7 linked regions of the Coturnix japonica genome follow. The protein of the gene in region 1 interacts with the protein of each later gene in a biochemical or structural test. Links are inferred from orthologs where the notes say so. Each region holds a gene or a part of one and is shown in the gene's direction. Other genes may lie near its edges.

Evidence for each region.
Region 2: of the proteins of MAPT (region 1) and HTRA1, one has a biochemical effect on the other in vitro, tested with the Homo sapiens proteins (2 studies listed by BioGRID and IntAct, with this or other methods). The link is inferred for Coturnix japonica from reciprocal best matches to the Homo sapiens genes MAPT and HTRA1.
Region 3: of the proteins of MAPT (region 1) and MAPK13, one has a biochemical effect on the other in vitro, tested with the Homo sapiens proteins (2 studies listed by BioGRID). The link is inferred for Coturnix japonica from reciprocal best matches to the Homo sapiens genes MAPT and MAPK13.
Region 4: of the proteins of MAPT (region 1) and CASP6, one has a biochemical effect on the other in vitro, tested with the Homo sapiens proteins (2 studies listed by BioGRID). The link is inferred for Coturnix japonica from reciprocal best matches to the Homo sapiens genes MAPT and CASP6.
Region 5: of the proteins of MAPT (region 1) and CDK5, one has a biochemical effect on the other in vitro, tested with the Homo sapiens proteins (10 studies listed by BioGRID and IntAct, with this or other methods). The link is inferred for Coturnix japonica from reciprocal best matches to the Homo sapiens genes MAPT and CDK5.
Region 6: the proteins of MAPT (region 1) and UBE2W are reported together in a solved structure, tested with the Homo sapiens proteins (2 studies listed by BioGRID, with this or other methods). The link is inferred for Coturnix japonica from reciprocal best matches to the Homo sapiens genes MAPT and UBE2W.
Region 7: of the proteins of MAPT (region 1) and MARK1, one has a biochemical effect on the other in vitro, tested with the Homo sapiens proteins (4 studies listed by BioGRID). The link is inferred for Coturnix japonica from reciprocal best matches to the Homo sapiens genes MAPT and MARK1.

Annotation. Positions count from the first base shown.
Region 1 is NC_029542.1:2,383,630-2,387,129, reverse strand, and holds part of MAPT (microtubule-associated protein tau), read left to right. Parts: coding exon 1-7; intron 8-1,609; coding exon 1,610-2,437; intron 2,438-3,500. UniProt on the Homo sapiens protein: Promotes microtubule assembly and stability, and might be involved in the establishment and maintenance of neuronal polarity.
Region 2 is NC_029521.1:27,861,002-27,865,261, forward strand, and holds the start of HTRA1 (serine protease HTRA1), read left to right. Parts: upstream 1-1,460; 5' UTR 1,461-1,486; coding exon 1,487-1,943; intron 1,944-4,260. UniProt on the Homo sapiens protein: Serine protease with a variety of targets, including extracellular matrix proteins such as fibronectin. HTRA1-generated fibronectin fragments further induce synovial cells to up-regulate MMP1 and MMP3 production.
Region 3 is NC_029541.1:545,164-549,283, forward strand, and holds the start of MAPK13 (mitogen-activated protein kinase 13), read left to right. Parts: upstream 1-1,320; 5' UTR 1,321-2,552; coding exon 2,553-2,671; intron 2,672-4,120. UniProt on the Homo sapiens protein: Serine/threonine kinase which acts as an essential component of the MAP kinase signal transduction pathway.
Region 4 is NC_029519.1:52,199,202-52,201,651, forward strand, and holds the end of CASP6 (caspase-6), read left to right. Parts: intron 1-386; coding exon 387-543; intron 544-1,161; coding exon 1,162-1,400; 3' UTR 1,401-1,950; downstream 1,951-2,450.
Region 5 is NC_029517.1:280,966-284,975, forward strand, and holds the start of CDK5 (cyclin-dependent-like kinase 5), read left to right. Parts: upstream 1-1,210; 5' UTR 1,211-1,311; coding exon 1,312-1,348; intron 1,349-1,423; coding exon 1,424-1,512; intron 1,513-1,669; coding exon 1,670-1,737; intron 1,738-2,316; coding exon 2,317-2,377; intron 2,378-2,462; coding exon 2,463-2,519; intron 2,520-3,191; coding exon 3,192-3,287; intron 3,288-3,391; coding exon 3,392-3,466; intron 3,467-3,546; coding exon 3,547-3,643; intron 3,644-3,732; coding exon 3,733-3,802; intron 3,803-3,880; coding exon 3,881-3,941; intron 3,942-4,010. UniProt on the Homo sapiens protein: Proline-directed serine/threonine-protein kinase essential for neuronal cell cycle arrest and differentiation and may be involved in apoptotic cell death in neuronal diseases by triggering abortive cell cycle re-entry. Interacts with D1 and D3-type G1 cyclins.
Region 6 is NC_029517.1:106,928,341-106,931,840, reverse strand, and holds part of UBE2W (ubiquitin-conjugating enzyme E2 W), read left to right. Parts: intron 1-339; coding exon 340-442; intron 443-2,766; coding exon 2,767-2,922; intron 2,923-3,500. UniProt on the Homo sapiens protein: Accepts ubiquitin from the E1 complex and catalyzes its covalent attachment to other proteins.
Region 7 is NC_029518.1:16,251,143-16,254,642, reverse strand, and holds part of MARK1 (serine/threonine-protein kinase MARK1), read left to right. Parts: intron 1-590; coding exon 591-827; intron 828-914; coding exon 915-1,034; intron 1,035-3,500. UniProt on the Homo sapiens protein: Serine/threonine-protein kinase. Involved in cell polarity and microtubule dynamics regulation. Phosphorylates DCX, MAP2 and MAP4. Phosphorylates the microtubule-associated protein MAPT/TAU.

The DNA of each region.
Region 1 (3,500 bases):
GCTCAAGGTTGGTCGGGCTTCTGTCACTGGGGTCTGGTTGCTGCTCCTGGGGGGGATGGGGGGGGATTGGGAGTTTACTTTTGTAATGCAACTGGGTGGTTGTACAGCTCTCCCTGTTGCTGGCAGGAGGGTCACACACACTTTGAATGTCCCCAACACGCTCATTTCAGGCAGCTCCTCATTCATCAGTTTCTCTCTCAGATGGCTGATGCTTGTTTGCCCAGTGGCAAAACAGAGCATCCTCCGGGCTACAAAAGGTCATAAATAAACAGAGCCAGGATGGTGTAGTTTGCCAGGAGGTGCTGCTCAATGTTGCAGGTCACTTTGGAACCCTGCATGTCCCACATGAAAGGACTGAGCTATCTGACTCTATGTACCATGTCTCATTTAGGGTGGGCTCTCTTTGCATCTCAGGAGTGTCTGACAAAGCCAGGCAGGGTGGGCAGTCATTGTAACACAGCTGTCTCGCTCACATCTGTAAGTGACAGCAGCAGTTTTGTGTGTTAGTTATAAGGGCAATTAAAAGCCCATTTAGTAAGGTGGTTTTCTGTTGGGGTTGTGCAGTGTCTCGTGACAGCACCAGTTTTGTGTGTTAGTTATAAGGGCAATTAAAAGCCCATTTAGTAAGGTGGTTTTCTGTTGGGGTTGTGCAGTGTCTCTCCTCCTCACGGCTGCTGTGTACAGTCATCCCTGTCTGTGCAGCTCTTTGCTTTCTCAGCTCAGAGTGAATCGAGGTCTTTGCTTTTCACACTCAGCACAGTGACACACGCTGCTCCCTGCAATGAACATCAAGCATTTGATGGTGGTTCTCAGGCTAGCAGCTCTTCTGCATTCAAAATAGTGATGCTACTAAAAGGGAAACCGAGGTTGTTAGCGGGATGGAGTGTGTTATCCCTCCTGTCTGTCTTTTCCAGTCTGCTTCCAGCTGCTGTTTCTCCCCAGATCTTTAATGATGGTTTTCTGCCTTGGCCTGGGATCTTTCAGCTGTCAGATATGGGGAAATGAATTGCCTCTTTTACCCTAAAACAACAAAAGATCCGTGTCTGTGTGACTGTGTGTTTTGGGTTTTAAATGTCACTCTTTCTTTCCCCTGTGCCCAAATGATGGCAGCAGTGCTGGAGCACTAATTAGGCTGAGTGGGCACACAGTCCAGAGCTGCTGTGGTTGTGTAGTTACAGCCATAGTTTACTTACAGTCCTTCCTACCAGGGCTCTGCCTGGCTGCTGTTAAGGACATGGCAATATGGGAGCAGACAGGGGAGTGCTGCTCCCTGGGCTCATAAGAACCAGAAATGATGTGGAGGTGGATGGGAAGCTGGATGTATTCCTGAATACCTCCAAAGCCAATGCCTGGCAATGCAGGTGTGACACACAGGGACCCTTCAGCCACCTCTGATATGGGGTCCAGGCAACACTTTGGCCTTCCCACCTTTGCCTGACCCTCTTTCCAGTTCCCATGGAGGTCAGAGTTCCTTTAAAACCCATTCTTTGTCTGCTGAATTCTCATATTGATAGTACAAACCCTGAGTTTCCCTTCTGCACTGTGTGATTGACCACCTCTCTGTGCTTGTACTCACTGTCTGCCCACGCTTCATACACTTCATCTTCAGCTCCAGGGGAGCCCAGCTCTCCAAAGTTGCAGCCTGGCCATAAGGAGCATATGGGAGATGTGGTTCAAAGGGGCAGCCAGCCCATGGAGCAGGTAGCTGGTGTTCCTCGGGAGCCACAAGAAACAAAGGCTGCAGCCACAGCTCCCACCAGGATTGAGGTCACTATCCCAATCCCCCTGGATATGTACCAAGATGTCAGAGCAGCTGAAGCCAGCCGTGAGCTGTGGGATCGTGGGGGCAGAGAAGGCATCGGCGTGGATCCAGAGCTGGGTGATGTGTGCAGCACGGGGCTGGCAGGAGCAGGTGGAACTGATGCCTCCCATACTGCAGATGGGCCAACTCCTACTGGAACCCCACTAAAAGAGGACACCGGAGATGTGGACCGTGATATGGATGAAGCTTCTCAGCAGGATTTGCTTGGCCTGGTGGGACAGCACGTTTCTCCAGGCCCCAAAACAACCAAAGAAGCTCTTAAAGAGGAAGGAGAAAGCAAGTCCAGGGATGTCCTCAGAGACACAGAGAGGGAGGTATTCCTTGTTGAATCTGAAGCACGTAAAGCAGAAGACCAAGAAAAGAGACAGCATCTGCAGGGGGAAGAACCATACACAGATGTCACCTCATCAGAACCTTCTGAGACCCAAACAGAAGGGGCAGGAGGGGATGCTGGACCATTAGTGGAAGCAACTGAACCCCCTGATGGGTTAAAGGATGGGAGAGAAGACAGAGATGCTGCAGTGGAAGAGGTGCTGGGTGCAGGAGGGTGCCGGACGCCCAAGAAGAAACCAGGTGCTGCAGATAAAGCAGTCAGTCGTGTTCCTCTCCTGAAAGGTGTGTGCACCATTTGCCTGCCTGGAGCTCACCTTGCTGGTGCATTGCTCACCATGAAGCTGCTTGAAGCAGCACTTCCAGCTTGCTGCCTCCTCCTGAATTGCAGTGCTTGGGACATGGCCTGGACCTTTGCTGTGAACTGATCTACGAAGCTCCGCCGCTTCCCCCTCTCCCTCCTTTAATCTTGGATGTCCTGGCATCATTGTCAGACCTCCGTGCTTTGGTTTTGCATCCCTTGCATGGTGCTGGTGTGTTCCCAATCACGCTTTTTTTCTTTCTTTTTTCCTTTATGATTTCTTTTAATTTCAATTCCTTTGGATCTTTGGGCTCTTTAACTCACACCTGGCAGCTTCCCAGAGGAGACAGATTCTAGATGGATGCTGTGGCATGTTGGATCGGGGCTAACCCAGCACGATGCTGCTTGTCCCAGCAGGGCACATGCCACTTGTTTTGCATGTGTCCACTGTCCAGTGCAATAACTCTTTGCATCAGCTTCCCTAAAGAGGAGGGAGGAGGGAGTTCAGACCTTGGGACCCACGTTGGTCCTTTGCAGAGCACACCTGAAGCTCTTACACAGCATCATGCTTTGATCCCAGCTCTGGATCTGTGGATGCTCCGATGCAATGGCTGTGCTGGGTGTTCTGCAGGGTGTTGTGTGTGTGGACACTCTCAGGCACATCTAACAGTGTATGTGTGTGTTCCTGGGCTGGAAATCCTCCTCTGTGAGCACCCAGAGCCCTGGGTGCTGTTTGTGCAGCAGGTCTCAGTTCTGGCTGTCCATGGGGAAGGTTTCCATCCTCCCATCAAAGCACAGACATCCCTGCTGGCAGAGCAGCTCTTAAACCTTTTCTTTCTCCATGAAAGAGCCGTTTCCCAGCTTCCAGGGATCCAAGGCATCAGAAAGCTTTGCATAAGTACTGCAGGGCATCAGCATGGCTTGCTGTCGCTGTCATCAGAGCCTGAAACCAACCGTGGGCTGGGGATGCCTTGCTTGGGGTCACCCAGTTTCTGATCCAACAGAAGGAATTTCTTTCATTAATCCATTTGTGGGCTTTATTTCCTT
Region 2 (4,260 bases), on another chromosome or scaffold:
TTTCAGTGCTATCAGATGCTTGTAGCCTTGTCATTCCCAGCTGTGCTTTGGAGCACAGTCAGTGCAGCTCTGATGCCAGTGAGTGGCTGCATCACTTTGGGGATGTTCCACTGAAGTAATGAGGGCTGCTCTGGAGCTGAATCGTGTTCCAAATGTCTGCCCTGGATTTTTGCTTTGGCTTTGCTGTGCTGCCTCTCTGGGAGGAAAATATAAGAAAGCAACTGGAACTCGTTGGTAAAGGTAATTAATGGAGCAGCAGTGGTATTCTGCTCTGCAAAGTGATACTTTTGACTTTTTAATTAAGGCCTTTGCATTTGAAACGTCCATCAGCACTGTAATTCTGCATATCTGTGAGCACACCTGTTAAGAATCCAACCCACTCCCTGCACCGCATTCCTGCTACTAACCCAGCCATCAGCAAAGCCCAGCTCTGGAACCCAGGTGCTCCTTTGGAAGAGCAGGAGATGGAAGAGCTCTCACACCGTAACCCTGTCGGTCCTGCAGCAGCTGAGGCTTCAAAGAGCCACTGTGAGTTATCTGGCATAGGCGATGCCATGCACGATGTCTGGGTGGGGCGGCTCGAGGAATGCACTGCTGGGGCAGATCGGAGCTGATGCGGTCACTCCACACTTGAATTTCTTACATATTTGTGCTGATAAGTGCTCATCTCAGAGCTTGTCTTTATATCAAATTGGGAGCTGGTCAAAAGCAGCCGATAAGTAATGGATACATAAGCAACAGCTGGGAGAAATGTTGCTATAATATCTATGCTACGTATCATAGAAGATCCCTATTTGGAAGAGTCTTATCAAGGATCGCTGAGTCCAACTCCTATATATGTAATTTTGAAGAAAAATCAATGCGTGGACATTTTCAAACCATTCTTTATAATTGACAACAACTTTAACGATGCAGGTCGGGGCGTTTGTGCATTGTGGCATATTATTATTTGTGGTCGTTTCTGCAATAATTCCTCCTGAAACCTCTTTTGTTGCCACGTAGGGAGCGCAGGACAGCTGTGAGCGGCTCTGATTGCAGCGCAGCAGACGGTGCTTCTGTGCCCTCGGATAACCGGGCAGTCCGGTAAGCATCGTCCATCCACCCGTCCCTTCCCCCCCCGTGTTTTGCGGTGGTATTTGTAATACGAGGGTGTAAACGGGGGGGCTACGAGCACAGAGCCATGAAGGCTGTAAAGACATCTCAGACCCCCAAGTCCGACCCCTCCGTGCCCGCCCACCATGTCTCTCAGTGCCACATCGCTGCTCCTGGTGGGGCGGCACATCCCGCACTCCCAGGGCTGCCCGCTCATTCCCCATTGAATCCTTCCTAACACCCAAATAACGCACATCCCCCTCCATCCACTAAACCCCGACCGGAGGGGTCTCGACACCCCTGGGCTGTCCCCTTGGCCGCTCCGCCCCCCGCGCCGCCCTCGTTCCGCCGCTTAAATCCCGCTCCGCCGCCTCTCTCCGTCGCCACCGCCGCGATGCTGCCGCCGTGGTGTCTTAGCGCTCTGCTGCTCTCCCTGCTGCCAGCTCTGCTGCTCGCCGCCCCCCCGCCGCCCGCCTGCCCCGAACGCTGCGATCGCTCCCGCTGCCCCCCGGTTCCCTCCTCCTGTCCCGGCGGTCCCGTGCTGGACTCGTGCGGCTGCTGCCGCGTGTGCGGGGCGGAGGAGGGAGAGCCGTGCGGGGGCAGCGAGGGCGGCCCGCAGTGCGGGGAAGGGCTGCGCTGCTCGGTGCCGCCCGGCGGAGGGGTGCCCGCTTCGGGCACGGTGAGGAAGCGGGCGGCCGTCGGGCGATGCGTGTGCGCCAGCTCCGAGCCCGTGTGCGGGAGCGACGCCGTGACCTACGCCAGCCCCTGCCAGCTGCGGGCCGCCAGCCGCCGCGCAGAGAGGCTCCGGCAGCCGCCCATCATCGCCATCCAGCGCGGAGCCTGCGGGCAGGGTAAGGGGCGAGGGTGCGTGGAGCCAGGGGGGAGGACCTTGGCTCGGGTCGGGGTTGGAGCGCGGTGAGAAAGCGGAGCAAGAATGCGGCGCTCCGAGGCTGCCAAGTGTCAGAGGGAAAGAATCCGCCGTCCCGCTCGGAAAATCGGCCGTTGTGCCCTGCTTTCCTTTGCCTCCAAAAGGGATGCCGTGGGGGGCCGTCCCTGCGAGCACCCGAGGTCAGAGAACGGGGCAGTGAGCACCTGTGTGTGTCTCTGTTCATTGAGGGGTAGTTGGACCTAATGGCCTTTAAGGGGCAGTTCCAACTCCAGCGATGCTGTGAAATCCTGAGTGCGCTTCCATCCGAGCGCTGTGTCCGTGTAATGCCATGGGAAATGGAGCCAGGAATGCAGCCGCCGTTAGGGCTGAGCGCAGGCAGTGGCTGCACTGTCCGCCTGTGCCCGATTTAGCAAAGCGCTCCTCATTAATAATAGGATTGCTGGACAGGATCCGAACTTGGATCCCAACAGCACTGAGGCTGACTTCAGTGCTTCTGGAGCACCGTCCAGAAGCAACAGCATCTCCAGCAGCAACAAGTGGCGTGGTTTTCCTTCGGCATTGCTGTATTCTGTTACGTACCGCTGAGGCTTTGCTCCCACTTTGCTCGGTGCAGGTTGAGCCTGCAGGTTGTCTTCCTAACACCCATCGGATTAAATCTGTTCAACTACAGCTGCGCCTTCATTCCGAGACACTCGGTGCAAACGTGCTCGTTAATTAACAGGAGTTAAAGCCTATTTCTGAGTGGCAGAAGGGTCTGAGTAGCTCCTTTTCCCTTCGGACTGACCCTCAGGGTATGGGTTGAGCCAGTTCGTTTAGCAGCAGCTGTAATCTTTTCTCCACCTTCCCATCCTCCAGCAGGACAGGGAGAATGGCCCAGTCCTGCTGTACAGCTTCCAGCTCCCAATGTCTCCATCCATACCACCCATTTTCCATCTCGCTGCCCCCCCTCTGTGTAAGAGCTGCATTGTGCTCCTGGAAACATAGCTGGCATTTAATGCCCGACACAATCACAGCTTTCACGCTACAGTTTCCTGACCTGCAGTGTAACAAAATGCCTCGTGATGTTGTTCTCCTTCCCCCTCTCCCCCCCGGCGATTCTCAATTCATTAGACTGATAGCATTGTTTTACACCTTGTTCTGCGGTGTAGATAGTAAATTCTGTGGGCAGAATTTAGGCTGTGAGCTGTGGGCATCCCCTCTGTTCTGCATGAAGGATGCTAGAGGTGAACTGACCCAGCCTGGCTGCTGCTGTGGGGACAGTTAAAAGGGACCTCAAGCATCACAAATCCACCATAGGCAGGGCCACCAACCTCCACATTTAATACTAGATCAGGTTGCCCAGGGCCTCATCTAACCTGGCCTCGAACACCTCCTCTTGCCCGTTTTCCAGAGTGGCGTTATCTTTGATAAAATATTTCTGTCGGTTCATAGTAACAGGTGGAGATTTGAAGCTGATGTAAGGTAAAAGATTTGGGGTTTTTTTGCAGTAATAAGAGCAGTGAGGCGCTGGTGCTGCTGTGCAGAGCTGTGGGTACCCATCCCTGGAGGTGGCCGAAGCCATGGATGGGCCCTGGGCAGCTTGAGCTGGGGGGCACTGAACCACAGTAGGGGTTGGAGCCCAGTGATCTTTAAGGTCCCTTCCAACCGAAGGCATTCGGTGATTCTATGGTTCAGTTGTTCATTCCTCTTGGACAGTGGGCTTGGTGGTGATAGGTTGATGATTGGGCTTGATTTTAAAGTCTTTTCCAAAAATCTCTTACAGTGAGGGTAGTGAACCTGAAACAGATTGCTCAGATACGTGGTTCCATCCTTGGAGACTACCAAGGTGAGGCTGGATCGGGTCCTCAGCAACCTGATAGGAGCCTTTGGTGTTCCTGTGCATTGCAGGCGTGTTGGGCCAGATGGCAGTGAGAGGTCCCTTCCGACTCCTAAGGATTCAATGATTGTGTTACTCTATGTCCTGCTCTGGGAGCTGCACACAGATGAACCCAGTTCCTTTTCTGACCTTTAACCAAGAGGAACAGCAGAGTTCCTCTTGGATGCTCTCGGCTCCCAACTTTCCTCTGACCTTTTGTGACTAACGTCATTAGAATTTCATTAATTGAGCCCTTAACAACAGAACAAGCTTAGAATGAAATCCACGCAGCAAAGAATGGGGGAAAAGTAGTAGCAGCTGCTTAAAATCTGCCTGCAGTGCTGGTTGGGCCAAGCACTCTGGCAGCGTTGTGATGTGCAGTGATGAGTAATCAGGGCAGGAAGGGAGACTCAGCATTCTGGGG
Region 3 (4,120 bases), on another chromosome or scaffold:
ACTTTCCAGTGATCTCTTCAGGTCAAACTGAAGGCTGGGGTGAGGTGAAGAGGGACTTCGTGCTCTGTGATAACGCTCAGTTCAGACCAACAAAATAGCGACAAAACCTCCCTGCTGGACAAGCAGTCCGAGTATTCAAACGGAAAAAAAAAAATAAATGTAGATAGACTCTGTAAACCTACAGCAGGATGATTTTTATCAGCCATTTTATGTGTAGATGCTACAAGTGTGATTCCATGCGGAAATACTGCTCAAGATTTTTATTAATATAGACATTGTGCATCTGTGTGCGAGTGGGAAGCTTTCATTCACAGCCCTGCTTGAGGGAGCTCCTGCCTGCAGTGCGGTGCTGTTCAGCTGCCTGCAGCCTGAACAGGAGGATGCACTTCAAAGAACAGATCTGCTATTTTCTTTCTATCCGTGAGTTTTGTTGAAGTTGGTTATGCCGGATAAGATGTCACAATACCACTGGTTAAAAATAAAACCTATTTTTCAGATCTGCTGTGCTGATGGTTCTTCTGACCCCTTTGGCTAAAGGTGTGATTTTGATGTGAGATGAATTCCTCTCTCGTCGTACAGAATCCCGCGTGGTGGAGGGGTGTGCAGTGCGGCCCAACTGCAGGCCCATGCCCATTTGCCTCCCCCCCCCCCCAGGTACAAACCTGGCCTGGAGTCTGCATGACTGCTGTACAGTGAAAGTACGTGTAGGCTGTGTATATAGTGTACACAATAAATGAGCATTCTGCTCCTTGCCTTGACCTGGGACTTTTCCCTGGTAGCAGAGATTTGCAGCTGTCTGCTGCTTAGAAATGGGTGGGTTTCTGTCTCCAGCTGCCATCCAGTCGGTGGTGGGAGCAGGCGTTGTGACTTGCCATAATGGTGGTTTTCTGACTGCTGTTTGTCCAGCACTGTTCAGTCAGAAGGGCAATCAGGGGTAACTGAATAGAGCTGCGTTCATCACACCAACAGAAGCTGCAGTGCTGGCTGTGATGGAGCTGCAGCTTGTGCTGCTCCCCCTGCAGCACTGCACGGAGGTTGGTTTGAAGAGGCACACAGGGAAAGAGAAAGGTGTTTGCTGTGGTGCAAATGGAGAGAAAGAATCAAATGGTCAGAAAGAATCCTGGATGGAATTTGTCAGTTTTTCTGGGGAGAAGAATCCCAAACCTTCCACATTCCTGAGTTGTGTTTGGTTGCAGTTTATGTTAGTTAGCAAACGACACTAAAATCGGTGAGAAATTAGGGAAAAGTGACTTAGACTAATTCAAAGAAAACAGGAAATCTTAAATTAACTCCTCTTCCAATAGCTGTGCCCCAGATACTCACAGCTCCTGGACAGGTGCTGGCAGCCACGTGCGTGCAGTTGAGCAACAATTCTCCGTGCTCACCAGGTGACAGATGAGTTACATTTGTTTCTGCCGCAGCACTTCTGGCTGTAACTCCTCTTGCTCACGGATGTATTTATAGAACCCAGCCCATTCTGCTTTGTTTCCTTACTATGCTGTTGCTAGAGCCAGGGTTGGTTTGTACGTGTGTGCATAAGTAAAACTGAAATGCTGCCAGCACGCAGACCCTGATGTGCTTTATAGAACTGCAGGCCCTACCACTGCTACCTGGAGAACACCTGTGCCAATTTTAAAGCATGGTGTGGTGGTTGCATGTAAGCAGATAAAAGGAAACCTCCCTAAAACTGCAGTAGTGCATTTCTGTAAGTCCCACCTGTAGGGCAGAGGATGGAGCAAAGCTGAGTGTTGGCAGAGCGTGGCTCCTCAGGCAGAGCTTAGTCACTTCCTCCAGAGGGAGGGTAAACCCTCGGAGCTCCACTGAAGTCAAATCAGAGTGTGAGGTCTGTGCTCAGCAGGGTGGGCTGGGCGCTGCGCGGCGGGACTGACTGCTGCAGAAACGAGGCCGGACCCCTCAGACCCCAACACCTGCAGCTCCCAGGATGATCCCATCTCAGAGCAACTCCTGAGCATCTCACTGCAGTCTCGTAGATGAAGGGAAGCTCAGACAGCCTTCTCTGCGCCGTGTGCTGGGAAACTGTGGAGGAAATTCTGGCTGCTCTCTTGCTCTTCGGTGAATGTAACACCCCAGTGTCTGTCCTGGAGCTCTCCTCTCCCAGCAGGTCCCTGCAGGGCTGACTCGGCACTGTGGCACGGTGACCAGGTGTGACCTCGGTTTCCTGATGCGCCCTTACTCACCCCATCGGCGATCTCACGAGACCCCCGTCAGCCCCATGTGGCACTTGTGGGGCGTCTCTTCTCGCAGTCCCACATGCAGCTGCAGGTGTGTCTGCGTTGTGGCGTCTATCGGAGCACCCAGAAATACCTGCACACAGCCAAGGCGTGTCTGGAAACCTGATGCCTCATCTCCGCCATGTGGAGGCGGAGGGAGGAGGGCTGTGAGACATGTCCCTTCTTGCTCACAACAGCTGAAAGCAGACAAGGCAGCTCACTGTAGCCCTTCTCAGCAGCGCAGGGCATCCCGGTTGCACCCCAGGGGCGCCGCCAGCCGCCGGGACCCTGGGTGGGTGGCAGTCCCGCAGCCACCGGGCGATGAACATCGCAAGGAGAAGAGGCTTCTACAGACAGGAGCTGAACAGAACCATCTGGGAGCTGCCCAGGAGGTACACGTCCCTGCACCCTGTGGGCTCTGGGGCCTACGGTTCTGTCTGGTGAGTGGGGCCTGGGGGAGCAGCGAGGGCTGATGGTGAGAGGTGCCTCAGCACCCTCTGGTCTGATGAGGGTCTTTGTGTGTGCGATGAAGGTAGTTTGTATGTTGCTCGGTCACCCTGAAGGGCTGCTTGAAGAATGGCCCTGTGCCTCCTGCGGTCACCCCGACAGGCAGCAGGGAGAGTCGTGTCTGGCTCAGCCCTGAGGGTGTCCTGCAGGTGGGGATGTCCTCGGGTCAGAGCTTGGGGGATGGATGTGGTTGGCAGGAAGAGGGAAATGCCTGAATATCTGAGAGCTGAAGAGTTGGGCACTGCTGAAACAAACACTGAGCTCTGGGCAGAGCTGTAGCAGCTGATGCTGTCTCATGGGGGAATGGAGCTGGGTGGTACAGCCAGAGCACTGTGTCCAGCTCTGTGTTGTGAGGCAGCAGCCATCTGGGACTTCCCGGGACTTCCCGGAACCAGGGAGCAGCAGAGCTGCTGTTAATCAGTTACTTGGACAAAGGTACCTACAGGGAAAGCGAGCAGAAGAGTCAGATCTCACTTTGTTTACACTGGTGGGTGTGAGGGTGCTGGTGACTCTTAGTGAGGGCAAATCCATTGCAGCCCATTGTCAGTACCCAAGCAGAACCTCACAGCATAACAGGGTGAAAAGAAGAGGGAAGAAGTGTGTCCTCTTTCCTGGATGTTGGGCAAAGCATCTCCTGCTGTCCCAGAGGAATCCCCAAACTCCCTGCCTTTACTGGGGCTCTGTCTGCACTGCAGGATGTGAATGGGGACCAGAGTTTTCCTTCCCCACTTCGCTGAGTGTATGCAGGGTGGGGTCCTGGGATGCTTCTGTGAGCCCCATAATGCTAAACTTGATGTTTTCATATCTACACAGAAAAAAGCAAGAAAAATCCCTCCAAAGTTTTCTCGACTAGCAAAACACCAGTACCCAAACCAGCCCATACTGTGGGAGTCTCAGCTGCTCAGGAAGGGATGGGTTAGAGCGGACTGAGGGGGACGGGGGCTTTGTTATGGGATGGATGGTGCTTGGCAAGGTGGGATTGTGCTGGTTCCTGTACACAGCACAGGAGGAATGCTGTGCAGTTGGGATTTGCTGTCCTCTGCTGGGAACCACTGGGAAGCTTTTCTATCACAGTGTTATTTGGAGCCAACAGCTTTTGCACATCTTTGAACAACCAAGAGGGGCTGAGAAACAAATTGCAGGAGGTCAGCACGGGCCTGTTTCTTTCCCCATTAATTCAGCAGTGACTTGGTAACTGGGGAAGTTTTCTGATGCCCCCAGCCCTGTCCTATGGGTGCGACGTGCCACAATTACCCATAGAACCTTCATGACCTCACCTCGAGGTTGGCCTTGGTGTCATCCTGAGCTTCAGCTGCTCCTTAATCTTTGCTGGGAAGAACACCGTGGGCTCGCCCAGCTGTGTCACATGAGTTACCTCTGGG
Region 4 (2,450 bases), on another chromosome or scaffold:
TATGAATACCTGGTAGGAGGAGTGGGAATGAAGAGGAAGCCAGGATCTCTTCAGTCGTGCATGGTGGGCACAAACTAACACATAGAACATCTCAACACAAGAAAACATTTCTTACTGGGTAGGTGAGCAAACACTGAAAGATGTCATGTGACCTTGGAGACAGTCAGAAGCCAAGTGGACGTAGTCCTGAACAACCTGTTATAGCTGACCCTAAGTTTTTATTGGATTTCATTACCAATATTTTAATTGATAGAGATGTGTCTTTATGAATCTACACATATGGTTAATGTAAAACATAACAGGAGTCCTCTTTGTTTAAAAGCATTGTGGTAACACAGATTAGCTTCACAGAGGTGAAAGTATAACCATCCTTCTCTCCCCAACAGGCATGTCGAGGTGATAAACATGATGATCCAGTTCTTGTCCAGGATTCAGTAGACAGCAAAGATGAAACCACTGTTAACCAGACTGAAGTGGATGCAGCTGGCGTCTATACCCTGCCGGCTGGTGCGGACTTTATTATGTGCTATTCTGTGGCACAAGGTAGAGTTCTATTTTATGTCTGTCTGTCTGATATTTCATTAGAACAAGCTTGAACGCTTCCTCATTTTGCAGTCAAAATAATGAGTACAGTTCCATGTCATCTGTTTTGCTCCCTGTTAAGTGACATCTGGGAAGGAGCCCCATATGTTAGGGGAAAAAGTAAAAACAAACGTTCAAAATTGCAGTTAATTTGCCAGACAGAATCATTCTCTTCATAATCTTGTTGCTGAGCTGTCTGCTGACAGCAATCATTCCCCTTTTCTCCAAGACTGGTATTTGAGAGGTTTATCTGTTCCCCCATACTGTGTGGCTGTACTTTCCAGTCCGTCATCTGTCTTGTCCTCAGTCCCATCTGCTGCCATGCAAATTGCAGACAGTCCTGTGGACAATAAGCTACCAGTTCCTAAACTGTGTTCCTCTTGGCTAGACATGGTAAGTGACATGAAAACCATTTCCTTCTGCTGTTTCCAGTGAAACTGCATAACTTGACATGGTAAGATTTACATCCAGTAGTAACTCCATTAGGTGAAGGTAGCAAGGAGCAACCCTCGTGAATGTTTTTCAGTGGCAGTGGCTACTTACAACTAAATATAATCGTATTTTCCTGTTCTGCAATAGGTTACTTTTCTCACCGTGAAACCATAAACGGCTCCTGGTACATTCAAGATTTGTGTGAGGCCCTCAGGAAGCACGGCTCGTCCTTGGAGTTCACAGAACTTCTTACCGTCGTTAACAGGAAAGTTTCTCATCGCAGCGTGGATATGTGCAGAGATATAAATGCTATAGGGAAAAAACAGATTCCTTGTTTTGCTTCAATGCTGACAAAAAAACTGTATTTTCATCTAAAATCTAAGTAGGTTGCTACTTACATGACATTCTTTAATTCTCGCCGCAGAAGGGAGAAAACTACCATGTTAGATCAGGAGCTGGCAGAAACACTGGGATCAAACCATCCAGTGTGTATATGCAACAGGTTCAAAAAGGCAAATTTAAAGCTAATAGTGCAGCTCTGTTCATCTCAGGGAATCTGGACAAAGTTTACTGGTGCTGGATTAATAAGAGGTGCTCAGATTTTATTGAAATTAACTTTTAAGGACAGATTTTTGCTCAATATATCTGTTTAATTATGGCACATTTTTTACTATTTCCAAATCTTTTTAAGCACTGTCTTAGGTTAGCTTCTCTTGCTCCAAGAGTACTGCTTATAGGAAGTACAAAAAAATGTCTTACAAGTGTATCTATCTATGTACAGCAGGGTCCACCACCTTATTTTTATGCATTTATTAAGGTGGATTTTCTTTTTTCCTCTCAACGCTGAAAACATACTTCATTCCTTGAGTGCAATTGTAGTTCTAATGTGCATAAAAGGCTTCTTTTGCTGGCACATAAGTGTCATTGGTGGCGCAATTAAAGCTTGTTGGTGCTTTGCATCCTCGGGGGGAAAGAAAGCAGTAGTGAAATAAAGCAGCAGGTAGCTTGCTTTGGAATAGCATGATTTGGGGTACAAACACACTCCTTGACAAGGGTAATCTCATGTGGTACACTAAATCAAGTGATTTATATGGCTTAGGCTCACGTGCCACTCTTCTACATATCTTTAGGCAGCCTTGCAATATATAACGTAAGCAAACCTTAGTACTTCACATCTTGGTGTTGGACCAGACTGTGCCTCCTCTGGGCTCCAGGAGATGAGCTGTTCACTGTCATTTTTCATACAGAACTGACAGTACATATGTCATCGTGGACCAGAGGGAATGGTTTCAAGCTGCAGCAGGGGAGATTCAGGCTGGACATTAGGAAATATTACTTCTAAGAAAGGGTGGTCAGGCACTGGAATGGACTGCCCAGGGAGGTGGTGGAGTCACCGACCCTGGGGGTATTCTCAAGGAATGACTGGATGTTGTGTT
Region 5 (4,010 bases), on another chromosome or scaffold:
CCCCCGTGAGCACCGTCCGTCTCTCCAGCACCGCACACACGCCCCAGGCTCACGCTGTTGTGTTGCACACATCGGTGCCAGGAGGCTGGGAGCGGCCGAGAGCCCCACAGCTGCCCCACAGCTGCCCCACATCTGCCCGCCAGGCGCAGGCACGGAGCTCATCCATCCTCCATCCCTCCATCCCTCCATCCCTCCATCCCTCCTCCCCCCCCGTTCAGCCGCGGTTCCGCTCGGTCCCGGTGCCGCCGCCGCCCCGTCCCGTGTCCGTAACCGCGGTTCGGGGGGCGGGGCCGCCCCCGGTTTCATCCCGGCGGGTTCGAGCCGCAACTTCGGAACCCGCGGCCCAAACTCCCGGTGCCGCCCCGCCGTGACCCCGGAGCCGTCGGGGGCAGGAAATGAATCACGGAGCCGCGCTGCGCCACCGCGGGACCGAGCGGCCCCACGGGGACACGGGAGCGGCCCCACGGGAGCGGCCCCTGGGCCCGGCCCCACTCACCCCATGGCCCCGTTCCGTCCGGCGCTTCCACCGCCGCGTCCCGCCGCTCCGTCCGTGCCCGTTCGCCCCGGGGCCGTTATAGCGGCGCTCTCGGGCTCGGGGCGGCGGATCGTGGCGCGGCGCTTTGTTCCATCCCCGCGGCGCTGCAGCCCCGGGGCTGCTCCCGGCCACTCCTACGGGCGGGGGGGGGCGGCGGGGGGGGTCCGGGCGGCAGCGGGGCGGGTTGCGGGGCACGGCCCGGTCCGGGCGGGGCGGCCGGTGTCGGTAGCGGTGCCGTGTCCGCAGCGCCGCCCCCGGCCCCACCCGCCGCTGTAACGGGGCCGGGCACCGAGCGGGAACGTGGGATCAGGGCGGGGGGGCGCCCCCGGTGCCCGCAAAGCGCGGAAGCGCTGCCCGGTACCCGCTGCCCGGTGCCGCCCCGCCGTGCGCTGTGCGCCGTGTTGTGCCCGCGGAGCGGCGGCACCGACCGAGCGGCTCTTACCGGGACTCCGGGCGGAGCGGGCGGGCCGGGAGCCGGAAGCGCAGCCGGGAGCGGACACCGAACCCGGAACCGCACCCGGAACCGCCCGGCGGCGGCGGGGATCGAACCCGCGGCACAAGGAGCGGGGGGCGGGGACAAAAGGGGCGGGGCTAAAGGGGGCGGGGCCGCTCGGCGGCGTGGCGGAAGAGCCGGTACTTCCGGGAGGCGGGACGGAAGTGGAGGGGCTGCCGGGAGGGGCGGCGGAAGGGGCGGGGATACGAGGGCGGGGGCGGGGCCGGCACCGGGACCGGAGCGGAACCGAACGGGACGGAACCGAAGGGGACCGAACGGGACCATGCAGAAATACGAGAAACTGGAGAAGATCGGGGAAGGTGCGACGGGACCGGACCGGGGCGGGGCGGGGCGGGTCCGGTGTGGGGCCGCTGGGCTGAGCCGTCCGTCCGTAGGTACGTACGGAACCGTGTTCAAGGCCAAGAACCGGGAGACGCACGAGATCGTGGCGCTGAAGCGGGTGCGGCTGGACGATGACGACGAGGTGAGGGCCGGGATCGGCACCGGGATCAGCGACGGGCCGGGTCGGGTCGGTTCAGTTCGGTTCGGTTCGGCTCGGTCCGGTTGTGCCCGGTCCGGTTGTGCCCGGTGCACACGGGGCTGCTCGGGGCCGGTCCGAGCCGTGCGGTGCCGCCGTGCAGGGGGTGCCCAGCTCTGCACTGCGGGAGATCTGCCTGCTCAAGGAGCTCAAGCACAAGAACATCGTCAGGTGAGTCCGGTGTGTGATATGGGCTGTGTGTGCTATGTGCTGTGTGTGCTCTATGTGCTCTATGTGCTCTATGTGCTGTGTGTGCTCCTATGTGGCTCTAGGTGTGCCTCTATTGTTGCTCTATGTGCTGTTGTGGCTCTATGTGCTCTGTGCTGCTCTATGTTGCTCTGTGCTGCTCTATGTTGCTCTGTGTGCTCTAAATGTTTGCCTCTAATGTGCTGTGTGTGCTTCTATGTGCGTCTATGTGCTCTATGTTGCTCTATGTGCTCTATCGTGCTCTATTGTGCTCTATGTGCTCTATGTGCTCTATGTGCTGTGTGTGCTCTATGTGCTCTATGTGCTGTATGGGCTCTATGTGCTATGTGCTCTATGTGCTCTATGTGCTCTATGTGCTCTATGTGCTGTATGTGCTCTATGTGCTCTATGTGCTCTATGTGCTGTGTGTGCTCTATGTGCTCTATGTGCTCTATGTGCTCTATGTGCTCTGTGTGCTCTATGTGCTCTATGTGCTCTATGTGCTCTATGTGCTGCTGTTGGTGCTCCCCGCCCGGTACCGACCCTTTGGTGCCGCCCCCCCAGGCTGCACGACGTGCTGCACAGCGACAAGAAGCTGACTCTGGTCTTTGAGTTCTGCGACCAGGTGAGCGCGGATCCGGCCCTAATGACACCCCCCCCCCATAAACCCAACCCCGTCCGTGCCCTGATGGCAGCACCGCCCCCTGCAGGACCTCAAGAAATACTTCGACAGCTGCAACGGGGATCTGGACCCTGAGATCGTGAAGGTGTGTGTGTGTGTGTGTGTGTGTGTGTGTGTGTGTGTGTGTGGCCACATCCCTCTCTGCTCTGCCCTCTGAGGCCCCATCTGCAGTGCTGCGTCCAGAGCTGGGGCCCCCAATACAGGAAAGACAGGGAGCTGTTGGAGAGGGTCCAGAGGAGGCCACAAAGATGCTCAGAGGCTGCAGCACCTCCACGACAAAGACAGGCTGAGGGAGCTGGGCTTGTTCAGCATGGAGAAGAGAAGGGAAGGCTGCGGGGTGAGCTCAGTGCAGCCTGACAGTGTTTAAAGGGGATTAGAAACAGGAGGGGAATCGACCTTTCACAAGGGAAGGCAGTGACAGGACAAGGGGAAATGGATTTAAGCTGAAGGAGGGCGGATTGAGGGTGGATGTCAGGGGGAAGTTGTGTACTGTGAGAGTGGGGAGGTGCTGGAACAGCTGCCCAGAGGCTGTGGATGCCCCGTCCATCCCTGGAGGTGTTGAAGGCCAGGTTGGATGGGGCCCTGGGCAGCCTGGGCTGGTATCAATGTGGAGGTTGGTGGCCCTGCCTGTGGGGGGGGGTTGGAGCTTTGTGATCCTTGGGGTCCCTTCCAGCCTGTTCTGTGTTGCTGTGCTGCTGTCGCTGTGGCTGGTGCTGGCAGTGGTGCTGTGCTGACTGTGGGCTGTGCTCTCCCACAGTCCTTCATGTACCAGCTGCTGAAGGGCCTCGCGTTCTGCCACAGCCGCAACGTCCTGCACAGGGACCTGAAGCCGCAGAACCTGCTCATTAACAGGGTGAGTGCTGGGCTGGGGGCAGGGGCACCATGTTACCCCCCCCCTGTGCCCCTTGGGGTCCGCTGGGTGCTCCCTCAGCCCCTGACCCCTTTCTCTCTCTGCAGAACGGGGAGCTGAAGCTGGCAGACTTTGGCCTGGCACGGGCCTTTGGCATCCCGGTGCGCTGCTACTCAGCAGAGGTGAGGAGGGGGCTGCTGGGATGCACATGGGGGTCCCGGCATTGCCCGCTCCTCCCGAGCATCCCCTGTGCCCCACGCAGGTTGTCACGCTGTGGTACCGACCCCCGGACGTGCTGTTTGGTGCCAAGCTCTACTCCACCTCCATCGACATGTGGTCGGCTGGATGCATCTTTGCAGGTAGCTGTGGGGCCGGGGGGGCTGTGGGACGCCTGGGGCGGCCATCGGGGCTCACCCCATCGGGGCTCACCCCATCCATCCCTGTGCAGAGCTGGCCAACGCGGGGCGGCCGCTCTTCCCAGGGAACGACGTGGACGACCAGCTGAAGAGGATCTTCCGATATCCTTTGGGTGCTGTTGGTGTGGGGGGGTGAGGGCAGAGTCCCGCAGCTCCCCGTGGCCCTTGACAGCCCCGCACGCTGCTGGGCACCCCCACGGAGGAGCAGTGGCCGGCCATGGCCAAGCTGCCCGACTACAAGGTGAGGGGTTGGGGGGCACGGTGGGGCGGGGGGGGGCGGCGTGGGGCCCGTTGCTCACAGCTGCCCCCA
Region 6 (3,500 bases), on another chromosome or scaffold:
AGAATGCCTGCTACTCTATTTTATTCCAAGCCTATTTTTGTATAAGAATAGTCTTTGGAAGTCTTCTATGTCAGCTGTGTCTCACATAACAGGGAATTGATGAGTCTGTGATGAGTTCAAGTCATAATAATTTGCAGTGCTATGGCAGTGTCTGTATATGAAATACCAAGCTTGTTTCTTTCAAATGTGGGCTTGATGCATTATTCACTTCTGTAATAGCTTTGCTAATGGAGAGTTTGGAAGATTGGCTGCATGGCAGTTGATTTTATTTGTCCTGTGCTCAAGAAGTAAAATAATCATCTTTTAGTCCATAATACTATTTTGTTTCTCCATTCTTAGGTGGATTGTAGACATGGAAGGTGCTCCAGGAACGCTATATGAAGGGGAGAAATTTCAGCTTCTATTTAAGTTCAGTAGCCGATATCCTTTTGATTCGCCTCAGGTATCTGCTTTCCTCCTTCCTACTTAATTCTGTCTCTAAGTAATAATTGTGTGGTACATGCTGAATACTAATGCCATTTGTATATCCTAAGGTGAGGTTTAGTTGTCTCTAGAAAAAGCACACCTGCACAATATGTTTAACATAAATTGAAACAAGTGAGATGTAGTGCCTACTACAGTCCACTTAATTTCATGGAAGATGAAAGAATGGTGTATTCTTGAGGTTTCTTTATACACTATGAAAGAACAACACAGAATAGTAGGATGGTTCCTTTTGTTGCTGCACACGAGTGAACAACAAACAATTCTTTAGTCTCCTCTTCAGCTTCTATGTCCTTTCTTAACCTCTTCTACCTTCTCTACTGCCATTGTTAATATGGCTGTCAAAATACTGTTCATGTGGTAGGAATTCTCATGAACACCTGGCATCTCTGAGAGGTCTGCAAATCTAGTGGTTATAATTAAGGTGTGAGCTACTGCTTTCATGGCAACATTAAGTACTGGAGGGTCAACATTACTACTAGGGTGTGGAATGAGCTCTGTACATCCATCTGTCCATTACCTGAGAGAAGTTAGGCTTGGAGGAGGAAAGCAGGTGTTAAGTTATCCCTTCAGCTCTCCTGAAAATGAAAGAAAGAAGAAACAAGAGTGCTTTAGTTCTGGCCCTGTTTCAGCTCAAAGTTTGAAGAGTCATCTCTGCTTTTCTCATGGCTGTTGAAGCTCCAGCAAGGAGTGAGCTGCGGCAGTCACATAAACTGTAAAAATATGTATCTGTAAGGATTAAGGTGAAAACTAGAAATGCTTGTTCTTCAGTCTCAGGTTTTAAGGAACAAACTGGCACATTCCATTCCCATCTGCATTTTATCAGGTTTGCAGTAAGCTTCTCATAGGTGATCCATAAGACCCACTTTGTTTTGATTCCAAGTGGGTACTGTTTGTACTCTTTATCTAACATGCGCATGTGACTGTGTAAAAATTATTGTAAAACAGCAATCTAAATCAGTACACAAAGACAAATGTATTTATTTCCTTGCAAGCATAAAAGGCAGTTAAGAATTAAAGCACTGGATATTTAGTTCTTGTTGTGGCTAAAATTTTTTATCATGCTGCTGTACAATAATTCTCTGCTTTAAAGCTCTTGATTTGTAATTCTTTCTCCTATAAATCTACTTCCTCTGAATTGACAATTTGTTTCTCCTGTTCAATCACTTGATTGTTTTCTGCCTTGAGTGTTGTCTGTTAAGCATGCATGCTTAACTAGTCCTGGTTTTCTTGTATAATGGAAACATTAGTTAGAAATTAAATACTAAGTTACAGAGGTAAGCTTTTCAGTGCGTAAGAAATACCAGACAAAGATCATTCTGCATCCACTTTTCTCTGCTGTCATTAAAAAAATTGCATGCCATTTGGAAAGTAGCTTGAGCTTTCTCACCTCATTTGTGATGAAGCTGAAACTTCTTTCTGGTAGTCAGTAATGAGGTGAGGTGTGTGTACACGTACCTGAACTGAGAAAATCTTAAGAAGATGTTGTGATTTGAGTGGTAGAGATTTATTATGTCATTTTATAAAAGATTACGGTGCTTATGTTGAATAAGGAGCTCAGGAGGATAATGCTGCTGTGAGGATTTTGGTTTTTACTCCCTTTTCATTGGTCCTGAGCTGACCTTACGTTTTTGTCAAACTTATTGTAAGAGCAGTAATTGTCAAAATTGATTTTCTAACCTTTATTTTTTAATAGAGAGAAGTTGAGATTCTCAGTGCTGTTCTCTGTTGTTTGCTTCTGTTAAAAGAAAATTCCACTTAAATAACAATTTAAAATATTTCCAATGTGATAATGCAGTATGGTTGTAAGAGTCCTTTATGTTCTAGTTAATAGGATTAGTGTGTTTAACTCTTCTTGAGTTGTCTAGAATTTATATCCTATTGTGTCCAAAGAAATACTAATTTGTGAATCTAACCTTCCTAATAGGCAGCTGTAGGATGTAAATAGGATGTTTTAAAAAAACTGAAGATGCAAGATTTAAGAGTTTGCTACATCTGTTGCTTTTATGTTCTTTGTGTTTTGTAACTATTCACAGGAAAAAAACTGCATTTGGCCATTTGTGCTACTTCACCTTCACAAGGCTTTTGTCATTTCATTTTACATTTTGACTAACAGCTCAAAAAATGAATGAATGTAATATGGTATATTATGTTATTTCTTGTAAATGATAATGTCAGAACCTGCTTTTTTATTTATTTTTTTTTTTTTTACAAAATCTGCATAGTTTTTATTTAAAAGTTGAACAATAGATTACATTTTGGTGGTTTTTTCTTTTTTTTTAGGTCATGTTTACTGGTGACAATATTCCTGTTCATCCACATGTTTATAGCAATGGTCATATCTGTTTGTCCATTCTAACAGAAGACTGGTCTCCAGCTCTCTCAGTGCAATCTGTTTGTCTTAGCATTATTAGCATGCTTTCCAGCTGCAAAGAAAAGGTATGAGGTTTTTTTTTTTTTCTCTCCTAGAGTCACTGGCTTGGGTTGGAAGGGATCTTAAAGATAATTTAGTTCCAGTCCTCTTGTAATGGGCAGAGTTGTCTCCACCTGCTGATTTCAGCACCATTGGAGTAGAATAAGTGAAAATTATTGGTTTTCTACTTTGAAAAGTAAGATTTTTTTGTTTGTTTGTTTCTGAAATACTAAAATAGGCAAACCTGCTACATACTTGCCAGTGACAGTGGCGCAGTGGTAGGAATGCTGCGTTGCAACACCGGAGGCCTGGGTTCGAATCCCCCCCCTGTGGTGCAAGTGTTAGAAGTGCTGCTCTGCTACACAGGAGGCTCGAATCCCGGGGGTTGGACTCGATGATCTTTTAAGGTCCCTTCCAACCCGCACTATACTGTGATCTGTATTTCTGCTATTTGAAAGTATTAAGCTAGAACTGCAAACTAAATAGTACAGTAAATATTTTGTAACTTTTTTTATGGCAACCTGTTTGTACTACTTTATTGGAGAAGAAGCATAAATGAATACTTCTACTTGTACAAAGTCATTATGTTATATTAACATGTAAA
Region 7 (3,500 bases), on another chromosome or scaffold:
TAGTAAAGTAAACAAGTTCAGAGATGCTAAGCCAGGAGATCTGTGCTGGTCGTTTTTCTGATTGTTTCCTTCTCTGAATGAAAGGAAAGATAATCTGTTTGAAAGGGGACTCAAATGAGCACAGTATTTGATGAGAGAATTCAGTGTTAGCGATAAAGCTGACATGTGGTAATTAGGAGAATGCTGCACTTTGGCTCATGTCTGATCTGCTGAAAAAGAGATTCCTGCACTTCTTAGTTTCTGGGCAGTTGTGCTGTTGATGTCTCCATCAGGAGCCTGGCCACAGATGAGTAAACTGTGTGGTTCTCCTGCAGACACTGCATAGCACCCATGCGCTTGAGGAAATTCACTTTATTCTTCTCCTGCTGTTTTGAGAAGTCCGGGTGCTTCAATATGACACTTATCAGTTCCATTTTCCTGGGTAAATGTAGTCCATTTTCAACCTTAGTTATGTATGATGGAGGATTAGTTCCTTTCTTAATGCAAGAAAGATACAGAAGGGGAAGCAATTTTGCATTTGTTAAATGATATGCTGCGATATATTGATCTTATACATAGCTTGTCTTTCTCCTCTTTTATTTTGCTCTTAGGCAGAAAACCTTCTACTTGATTCAGATATGAACATTAAAATTGCAGACTTTGGGTTTAGTAATGAATTTACAGTTGGTAATAAACTGGACACATTTTGTGGAAGCCCACCTTATGCTGCTCCTGAACTTTTCCAAGGGAAGAAATACGATGGTCCTGAAGTGGATGTGTGGAGTCTTGGAGTGATATTGTACACACTAGTAAGCGGATCATTGCCATTTGATGGTCAGAATCTAAAGGTAGGCTTATAATATGAAATAAGGCTTTTCTTCTTTTAAGTTTTCTGTGTCATTTGTAGGTTCATCTTTTAAAAATTTATTTTAAAGGAACTGAGGGAGCGAGTACTGAGGGGGAAGTATCGTATTCCGTTCTATATGTCCACAGACTGTGAAAACCTACTTAAGAAGCTACTAGTACTGAATCCAATCAAACGAGGCAGCTTGGAAGTAAGTAATTTAACCTTTTTCATTCAAATAAATAAATAAATAAATTACAAGTGTTATCCCAGCTGAGGGAGCTGGGCTTGCTCAGCCTGGAGAAGTCTGTGGGGTGACATCATTGCAGCCTTCCAGTACCTAAAGGGAGCTTACAGACAGGAGGGGGGTCAACTATTTACAAGGGTAGATAATGGCAGAACAAGGGGTAATGGTATTAAGTTGAAGGAGGGAAGATTTAGGCTAGATATCGGGGAAGCTCTTTACCAGGAAAGTAGTGAGGTGCTGGCACAGCTGCCCAGAGAGGTTGTGGATGCCCTGTCCCTGGAGGTGTTCAAGGCCAGGTTGGATGGAGCCCTGGGCAACCTGGTCAAGTATTAGATATGGAGGTTGGCAGCCCTGCCTGTGGTGGGGGATTTGGAGCCTTGATCCTTGAGGTCCCTTCTGACCCAAGCCATTCTATGGTTTAGATCAAGGATGAAATATAGTCACTGCTTAAGGCTTCTTTTAACTTTCATGATAGTTATATCCTACTTTAGGGGACCAGAAATCTTACTGAAAATGAATAAACAACTCATTCCCCCCCACTCCCCAAAACAAAACCATAGGAAGCATCCCAGAAACAACATAGCCTGAGTACATGTTAGTGAATTGCAACTAACTGAAGACTATAATCTAAGAGCATTTCAAAGTGCAAAGTGCTCCCACTCGTTTGGATCAGATAATAAATTCAGAACATGGAGAAAGCTGGACAAGATCATAAATATCTTCAACTTCGAGGAATTCTTTGGGGAAAAAAAGAAGGAATAACAGCAGCAAGCAGTACCATAAGCATAAGTAACACCTGCTTACCATAGTTGAAAGTAGAACAGAAGATAAATACATGCTTTGAAAATAGTATTTGCATGAGTTAATCGCCAGTGACCTTTGCTTTATCTTTCTGTGCATAGCTGTGCAGCAGTGGATAGAGTTCCAGAGATGAAATCCCATTTAAGCAGCTTTATATTTGTGTTGGTGTGACTTCTGCCTCCTGCCATGGATGCTACCTGTGCAAGGAAGCATGCATTTGCTGAGCTGTGTCTGCTTCTTTCAAGCTGTTACTGTTTTGTGACTTAATATGAGTAGTTTTAACTTGAGTATAATCTGCACAGAAGAGAATAGTGAGTGATGACTTCCATTTGGGTATTCATTAATTGTGTTGGATCCATCCTCATCTAGAGGACATAGTGATAAGAGCTTAACCACCACGAGATATTGAGAGATTACTCCTCTCTCCTCACAATGTCACGATTCAGTTTTAGGAAGTACGTTTTCATTTTATAGTACTTTTCTCTGTATTTTCAGCAATTGCAGTTTCTCTTCAGATGTAATTTTACTCTCATTTTAATATCATGGCATTTTCTAGTTCTTTTAAAATTCCTTTTTGTCCTTGGAGAGTGATGTTGCATAGCAGCTTCACAGGGAGCAGCATAGTAAGCAGGTTGCATGGAAGTAAATGTTACATGGGACAGGGGTGTTTTGAGTCAGTACTAAAACAGTGATGATGTGGGGAGTAGTCAGTACACTAATGCAAGTGGGAGAGGCAGTACAAACTTACTTTAAATGTGCGGACCTAAAATTACACTTGGAGTATATATTTAGTAGTTGGTCTGGAAATAAACAGCCATTGCATTTGTGCGAGCACTTCTAAAAATACATAACTAGAATTAGAAGTACTTACTTAGGAGGAGCTTTTAAAAGGCAGAAAGATAATGTTGTCTTGGGGGAAAGTGTTTTTTCTTTGTGCTTTGTCTTAAAATTACTTGGTCAGCCCCAGCCATAGATGCACTCATGGTTCCCATGCATACTTTTCCCGGAGCATCCAATAGTGTGCTGGCCAGGGACTTAGCAGCAGAGCTGAGGCTGATACAGTATCAGCGCTGCATATGCTACCTTTACCACTCTTCCTCTGGTAAGAATCAGGTAAACTTCTACTCAGCTAGTGTGTATTGGTTGCAGACTCATTGGCAACAGAGAGGAAACACTTGAGAAGCAAGAGAATGTTTCTCTAGAACTATAAATCTTCCAGGAAGAGATGGAGAAGGGAAGCAGTTTTGGAAGATGTGTGGAACTCTGTCAGGTTTTCAAGAAATCCGTCACCTCACCACCGTTCTCAAGTTCTTTGCAAGTCAAAGCTGAAATACCCACAGCGCAGATCTATGTTTACAAGCAGTAATAAAGCACATAGTTTTGAGACAAAACAGACCTTCGGCCAGGCAGGATTTTTATTATATAGCCTTGAAATTCAATAGAAACTTTAATAATATTTATTTGGTTGAAATGCAGTTTGGGTTGGTGATAATCAGATCTTTAAATACCCTGACCTAGGCTGCTGTTCTGTAATCAGCTGACTTTCAGAGATATAATGTTGATCCTAGAATAACATTGTTTGTGTCATTTCAGAATGTTTATAAGAACCTGTTTTAAGAGTGATACAGT